Arabidopsis thaliana: one gene and its partner. The protein of the gene in region 2 interacts with the protein of the main gene of each other region in a pairwise test. Each region holds a gene or a part of one and is shown on either strand. Other genes may lie near its edges. The genes, in order: AT1G66420 and AT5G60142.

Region 1 (3,671 bases), on a different chromosome or scaffold from region 2:
AACCTTTGAGATTAGATCGTGAATTGGAGAGTCTTGAAGGAGAAGAAGTAGTAGCTTTGATGGAGATAGGACGTTTTGAAGTGAGTGAGTGAGGAGTTGATCGGAAAGTTGGACCGGAGAAGCAGAACGTAGTAGTAGTGGCTTGGAGAGCCATTGCCGGAAAACGCAAACGGGAAACGCAGATATTGGGAACCGCGTCTTGGAGAAGCTACTTTTTGTTTTTTATTTTATGATTGTGAGAGAGGAAGCTGAGAGAGCGACAGTGAGAAGTAGCGGAGCAACCAAAGGAAATCTGAAAAGTCATTTTCATTTTAAACGGATCAGAGTTTTTAATTATAGCGCTATTAACATAATCACAAGTTTTAAAATTTGATTAGATTGCGTAATTACTAATTAATCCTTTTTTCTCTGTTTTCTACCAAAATGAACTTTTTTTATGCTAAGATATATAAAGAAATAATCCAACATAAAAGAGTCATAAGATAAACCACTAGAAAACATTAAACTTCATATCTAAAATCTCAAGTCATCACATCGATCACCTCATTCAAAAGGTTAGTCTTTTGTTTCACGCATTCGCTATTTTTAACCTTCAACATCTCTTCCATTTTCTTGCATTCACTTTCATCAGCCTCCAACAACTCCAACCTCTCTTCAATTTTCTTCTTAAACTCCATAGGCACAACATTCCATTTACGTTTAACCGAATCCACACCAAGACTCTCAATTGATGGAAGTAGAAACGAATTCTCAAACCAATCAGAGTTTGTCACATCTCCATCTTCTTCTTTAACTTTTTTACCTTTAGGTGAAGAGCACAAGTCCGTCTTCTTAGACGTTTCTTTAGTTCCCCAAATAGACATGGCCAGTTTGAAACATTTCTGTTCATGACCTTCAGAAAAACCGTTCTTCCTTTTCCTCGTATATTTCCTCTTCAATTGGCTAATCTTGCCAATGTATTGTTGCACACTAGCCTCGAAGCTAATGGAGTTCTTGACGAATTCTATAAACCCGTGTCTATCCTCAAACGGACTTTTCCCTGTAACATCTTCAAATTTAATAATTCCTTGTAGCATAACAATCTCATCTTCCTCACTCCACAGTCTTTGAAAATATGGGTTTTTTGTCCATTCTCCAACTTTCTTCTCATCTTCTGCTGAAACCTTCTTGGCTCTCTTCGAAGTCATGTCCGTTGAGGTCCCTTCACTCCGACGCTTCATCTCAGACGGTTGTACCTTGCCGGAGCCGCCACAAAACTCCTCATTCTTCTTGGAAGTTGCACCGGTCACAAGACCTGGAGGAAGATAAATAACATCATCTTCTTCATCTTCAAAACATGTCTCCAACGGCTTGAGATGCTTCTTTGACATATCAGAATCTTCAAACTACGATTTTGGTTGTGGTGTGTAATGAAAGCTTGGGGTTTGTTTAAGGCAACTACACGAATTTATAAATTAAAGAGCTTGTTGTTTCTCGGTAGATATAATGGCCAATAGGGTATAAGTTGCTTGCTTACTTTTCTAACTTCCAAAACCCATACAATGAACGATCTTTTTTCACATGAGCGTAATGATGATTTTTTCTTTTCCCAGTAAATTATTTTGAAATTAAGAAAACGAAAAAAAACGACTAAACCGAAAATAAATTTTGTCTGAATTGTTTTTGGTAAATAGGTTAGATCATCTCCATCGGTTACAATTTTGAGAGTTGCTTTTCACTAATATAATATAAACAATTCATAAAGGAGGAGAGAGAATAACATAATTACAGAAACGTTTCTGTGCAGAGAAATTTTGAAGTAATTAGACAACTGAAAAAAAGAAAAGAATATATTAATTACAAAATTAAGTCATAATAAAATATTAGTAATTTTTTTTTTTGAGAAACTTTGAAGGTTTCTTACCAATGGAGATGACCTTAGATATTCAACAGTTTATGTTTTCAATGTTCACACACATTGATGGAAAACATGCCATTACAAAAGATGTATATAGATAATTTTGAAATCAGTTAACATACCTATAAGTGTTCAAATGATAGTATTAGGTTAGTTAAAATGTTGGCTTAACTAATTTTGTTTTTAGTAAATCATAGATTTGGAGGTAAATTTTGTAGTCCCCGAGATTTAAAATAATAACAGATTTTAATCTTCATCTGAAGAAAATTGAACAGTTGTTTTGTTCCTATCTTTAGAAACTACTAGTTCAATCCTTTTTTTATTATACAGTAAGTAATGTCAACTTTTACTATAAGATTAGGTCTTTACTCTTTAGGATAAAACTGTTTTTAAGTAAACACAATTTTATTTTAAACTCAAAAGTAAATATTTGCTTTTCAGGGATGTCAAATAAAATGATGATCTGAATAATAAAACAATGGTAATTTTGGAAAACTTACAGCTTAAAACTTAAGTACTATTGTATTATTGAGGATTGTCTTATTTATCATTCAAAATTGAAAAATCATTACTTTTTAAATATGTAAATTGTTTTATTAAAACATTTTTAAGCCTTAATGTGTATCCAAGGGCCCTTTGGGCTTCCTCTCAAGTCCCACATCCACTAATCACATGATTAGCTAAAAACCCAACTAGTAAATTATTATTATTATCTTCCGTAAACATTTAATTTCGTTTTAACTTTTTCCTCATTGTCGTATAATTGTTTTTGTCGGTCGCTAAGATATTTTCACAGCTTCGGAGACTTCAGGAAAAAAAAAAATCATTTCTTCTCTGAAACGAAAAACCAAAGAAACGAGAAGAAGAAGCTATGGCGGATCAGCTAACTGATGAACAGATCTCTGAGTTTAAGGAAGCTTTTAGCCTCTTCGACAAAGATGGAGATGGTTAGTCTCAATCTCATCTTCTTCTTTTAAATCTCTCTTGATCGTTGTTAAAACCATAACGGATCTCATTTTTTCCGATTTCGTCTGCGATCAGCTTCAGATTCAGAAAATATTTGAGTCTGATTCTTTGATACGCTTTGGATTTGGTCTAATCTCTGGTTTTGCTAGATTCGATCTCTGATTCAGGTGATTCGTGTGGTGAATTGTTACTTCGTTGTTGATTGAATCGTTTGATTGTCTCTTTTGATGTAGTTTTGTTCCATCTCTAAGCATGGATTTGTGATTTTGATGTTTCTTTGAAGGTGACTTATATTGAAATGTTACTAGCTTTGTGCAGAATATCATGTTCCTGATTCTTGTTCTGAATCGTCTTTTTGTGTCATTCTTCTGTAGTTTAAGTAGGTATATTGCTATAGATTTCAGTTCAAAGATACTGTTTAGTTTTAGCACCTGTCATGCTTTTTCCATAGCCAAAGATATTCAGATTCTAGTGTTTTTATGAGATTCATTTAATGGTCATGTTTTTGGTTGATTAGTGGCTTTTTTTTGCTCAAAAACGTTTAAACAAAAGACCTGGTTTCATTCATGTTTCGTATGTATATCAATCTGACTTTGTTATGGGAATCTACTTGTAAGGTGGTATGTAGCTACAGGTTTAAGTTCTCTGATAATATTTAGTTTCGTATGAGAAGCAAACAGTCATGTATAGTCATGTATGTTTTAGAACAGATCATGAGTTTTCCATAATGAAAGATTCCAGAGTCTAGTGCTTTTTTTTTCTGGCATCCATTGATGGTCATGTGTTTAGCTGTTTGTTGGCTCTTGTA
Region 2 (3,929 bases):
AAGGGTATATTAGAGAAAGAAGGACTTGTGACATCTCAATTCTTGAACAAGAAACTTGAAACTTGAAAGAAGAATGAGATAGTGTTAAGTGGCAGAGTTCCAAGTATCTTAGTATTATTCTCCTCCTATGCCAATGCTTTTCTTATGATCACATAGAGAGTAATAACATTCTTTTTACATGAACTCGCAGGTTTTAAACAGCCCTGATGTGTGAACCATTCATAATGATTTCTCCCAAAATCTATAGCTCTAGTATACATTATTATTGTAAGACTGTGTTGATCGTCTTTTGCACTTCATGTTTCAGACAAACAAACAAAATCAAGAAGTGTATAGAAAGCATCAACATCGATTATGTTCCGAGAAAACCAATAAGATTCATAAAACCAAGTACTCTACTCATATAAAAACTCTCAAGTAAAAATAGATAATGTCTTGGAGTTAACGCATAAAGCCTTATCAAGAGATCATCCTCTTATAACATGGACCTTGATTTCTCGAACAAGACCATCCATCTCCTTTTCTAACTCACAAATCACCTTGTCATTCAACTTCACATTATTCCTTCTGATTATACTACGGAATCCCTTGATTGTTTGACCCTTAACTTTCCTCTTCAATTTACCAAAGTTTTTCTCGAGTGGATCAATCAAATTGATGAACTCAGGGAAGTGTAAGCCATACTTCGTTATGACCTTAGTTGGTATGCGCAGCTGCATTACAAAGATAACATCATAAAACAGAAGTGGTACATTATTTTAATGAAAATGCAAAAAGACATGAGACTTTCTTCACATTTCTTACCATATTATATTTTATTTGCCGATGCTGGTTCACTGTAAAGAAAGGGTTCATGTGATTATCCAGATATTGTCTGTCATGCTCTCCAGAAGAACCTATCAAAATTTATACGCAAGAAAATAAAAAGACAGTGATGCTCTCAGTCTCAGTTAACTTCACAAGACAAAAGTTTCTATTATACCTTTCTTTTTTTTCTCTGTTTTGACTCCTCTCCATCTTTCTTTCTCAACATCAGCATGATCATCGTCACCATAATCTTGATCATCATCATCATCATCATCATCAATAACTATGATATCTTCACTAGATGTATCTTCCTCAACATAATCTTGAACATCATTAATATCATCATTATCAGCATCATCAAGAGCTGTAATATCTTCACTAGATGTATCTTCCTCATTATAATCTTGAACATCACTAATATCATCATCATCAAGAACTATGAAATTTTCACTAGATTTAACTTCTTCCCCATAATCTTGATCATCATTAAAACCATCATCATTGTCATCAAGAACCGTGATTTGCACTGAACTTCTAAGCCTTTTACACGTTGCACGACCATAGATACAGAAATTGAAACACCAAGAGCCATCAAACTCAAATTCTAAGAACTCTCCACCTTTCAAATCTTCGTCCTTGACTATCTTCTTCCACCCATTAACCATAACAAATCTCTCACTATCACCACAAAACTTCCTAAACGCCACTTTCCAGATGTTTCCATAAATGCTTCTAACAATTACATTTTTAGGCAACGACTTTGGTAAAAAGCTGTTGAAAGAGATGGGTAATTCCTGAAGAGGAAGGATCTAAAAGTTTCAATAAACTAAAAATCTACATATAACCAAAAACAGAGAGAGAAGTGTATTTTTACCAAATCATCTCCGGAATCATCAGGTAAGTACACTTTGAAGAACTTTGGAAGACAATCATCCACAGAAATTCCTGTTCCAAAGCAAGAAAAAAATCAGAACATAGGATAGGTTATGTGATTGGAGAATCAAGAACAAACAATAGCATAAAGATCTTAACATAAAAACAAGAGTCTAAAGAAGAAACCTCTGTTCATCATCTTCACCTCTTTGAAACCCTAACTCTTTTAGTGAAAGTGAAGGTGAAAATGGTTCTTGAAAATAGAAAAGTAAAAGAGCTTTGTTAATAGATCTCCGATCTTTTGGTTTGCTTTAGAGATTTTGCCTTTTGTAGCATAACACAGAGACTGTATTGTCTTCTAGGCTTATTGCTACAAATGGAAAAATAAAACATGTGCTAACTACTTTTACTTCAATGCTCCATGAACCGAACCGATATGATTTTAATCAAACCGAAAAAATATTATCCTAACCAAACCAAACCAATAAAGGGTGAACGAGAATTTAAAATTCAAATAAATGGGCTTTAAAGTCCGGCCCAATCGATTTGCTTTAAATGACAATAATAACCTGAGATTATAGAGAACGTTGGTCCGATCTTCTTTCAATTTCAAGTTTTTCAACCTCTTCCCGCTTACGAGGCCGGGATATTCTATCAACAGTCGTCTCTTCCATCGGCCGAACAATTTCCGATTTACCGACTAGGATTTTCGCCTACAACTTCCGAAGAGATTTTCTCAGTGTAAGTTTGAAAAAACCTAGCTATAGGATTCCGGATTTCCTAATCGTCAGATCTTGGGCTCGAAAGAGAAGCTAGAAATGGATAAGGATCTCTTAGATATCTCTGGAGAAGACGACGAAGATAATTGGCTTCTGAAGAATACGCCGAAGAAAACTAATTCGAGCCGAGGAAAGAGTTATTTGAAATGCTCACCTCTCCAAATCCCTAGATCTAGTCGTATCGTTCCTACTCGGCCTCCTTTTTCCCCAATTGGTAAGCGCTTCAATTTCTCGTTCTCGATCCGAGCTTCGTTCTGATAATTTCTCTCTCCCTTTGTTAGAGTGTTTAAGCATCTGAATTAGCATTGTTTAAATCTTAATTTGATAAAATAGCAAATTAGTATAAATGTTGTGTATTCTGCGGATATATGAAGGTTAATACTTTTTGCAGGAAGAGTAACAGGCACCAGCAACAACAGGGAGCAGCCATGCGCTTCAGTTGATACAGATAGTGTAGGAAAGGAGAATGCTAAAGTTGAATTGCCCAAATTGAGTGTGGAGCGACAACAGATGAAGAAGAAGAAAAAGAATGCAGGGTTTAATTTGCGCAAGAGTTTAGCATGGGATAGAGCTTTTTCAACGGAAGAAGGTGACTTTTTTTTACCAATTTCCTGTTAGTAGTAAAGGTCAAAGATTTGGTCTATGTTACTAAGAATCTTAAGATGTGTGATATGGTCATGAACCAGGTGTTTTGGATTCATCTGAGTTATCTAAAATAACTGGAACTGCTTGCCATCTTGGTGGAGATCGGTTAGCTGCCATTCAGGAAGAGTACAGAGAGTCAATGTCAGCTTCCAAATGTAATGTTTCACCAGGACTACAAGCACTTGAAGAAAACTTATTTAACGACTTGCCTGTGAATAGTAAAAACAGAGAGAAGAAGCTTGTCAGTGGCATAATGCCCAAGTACGGATCACCATCTAAATCCCAATCTTCCTCGGTGAGTTTACTGGACCTAAATATTGTGGAGCTAATGAGGGTCATAAGTCGTTTCTTTCCTTGCGTAAATATATATATTTTGAGGCGCAGTCTATCTAAATGTCGAATATCTGCATTATAGGCCCAGAAAAAAGTTATCTCAGCTCAGGATTTAAGGAGTGGTTCCAAGCGCAGTGGCTGTCCCCGGCCTCCTCCTTCATCTTCATATCCTTTTCTTACTTTGAGTACTGAGTGTATAGGCAATCTTGATATCCTTTGCAGGTCTTGTTTGTGTTCTTTTTGCTTGTTTACCTTAACCATCTTGCACCCTGAAAAGACCTGCAAATGTGCATACAACAACATCACGTTGCAGGGAGCTGAGCATATCTAAAGTTCCTACTACCAAATCTGACCCAGTTACAGTTGGAAACAACATGAAAAGGACTACTCAAAGTCCAATCAAAGCGAAAAACAGTCAACCTACTCAATTAAGTATGTTCACTTCAGTTAGCAAATAAAAACTATTCATCTCATATCCTTTTTAGTTCTGTT

What was found.
Region 1: the proteins of AT5G60142 (region 2) and AT1G66420 interact in binary tests that used the Arabidopsis thaliana proteins (3 or more experiments, as listed by UniProt).

What each region holds. Positions count from the first base shown.
Region 1 is NC_003070.9:24,774,883-24,778,553, reverse strand, and holds AT1G66420 (DNA-binding storekeeper protein-related transcriptional regulator), read right to left. Parts: upstream 1,371-3,671; coding exon 522-1,370; downstream 1-521. Other genes in the region: AT1G66430 (pfkB-like carbohydrate kinase family protein), read right to left, coding at 4-154; CAM4 (calmodulin 4), read left to right, coding at 2,769-2,844, 3,013-3,042.
Region 2 is NC_003076.8:24,215,713-24,219,641, forward strand, and holds AT5G60142 (AP2/B3-like transcriptional factor family protein), read right to left. Parts: upstream 2,038-3,929; 5' UTR 1,880-2,037; coding exon 1,867-1,879; intron 1,753-1,866; coding exon 1,682-1,752; intron 1,641-1,681; exon of another isoform or gene 1,602-1,640; coding exon 983-1,601; coding exon of another isoform or gene 957-982; exon of another isoform or gene 897-956; coding exon 805-896; intron 714-804; coding exon 468-713; 3' UTR 235-467; downstream 1-234. Other genes in the region: AT5G60150 (uncharacterized protein), read left to right, coding at 2,499-2,673, 2,851-3,048, 3,146-3,399, 3,520-3,602, 3,706-3,869.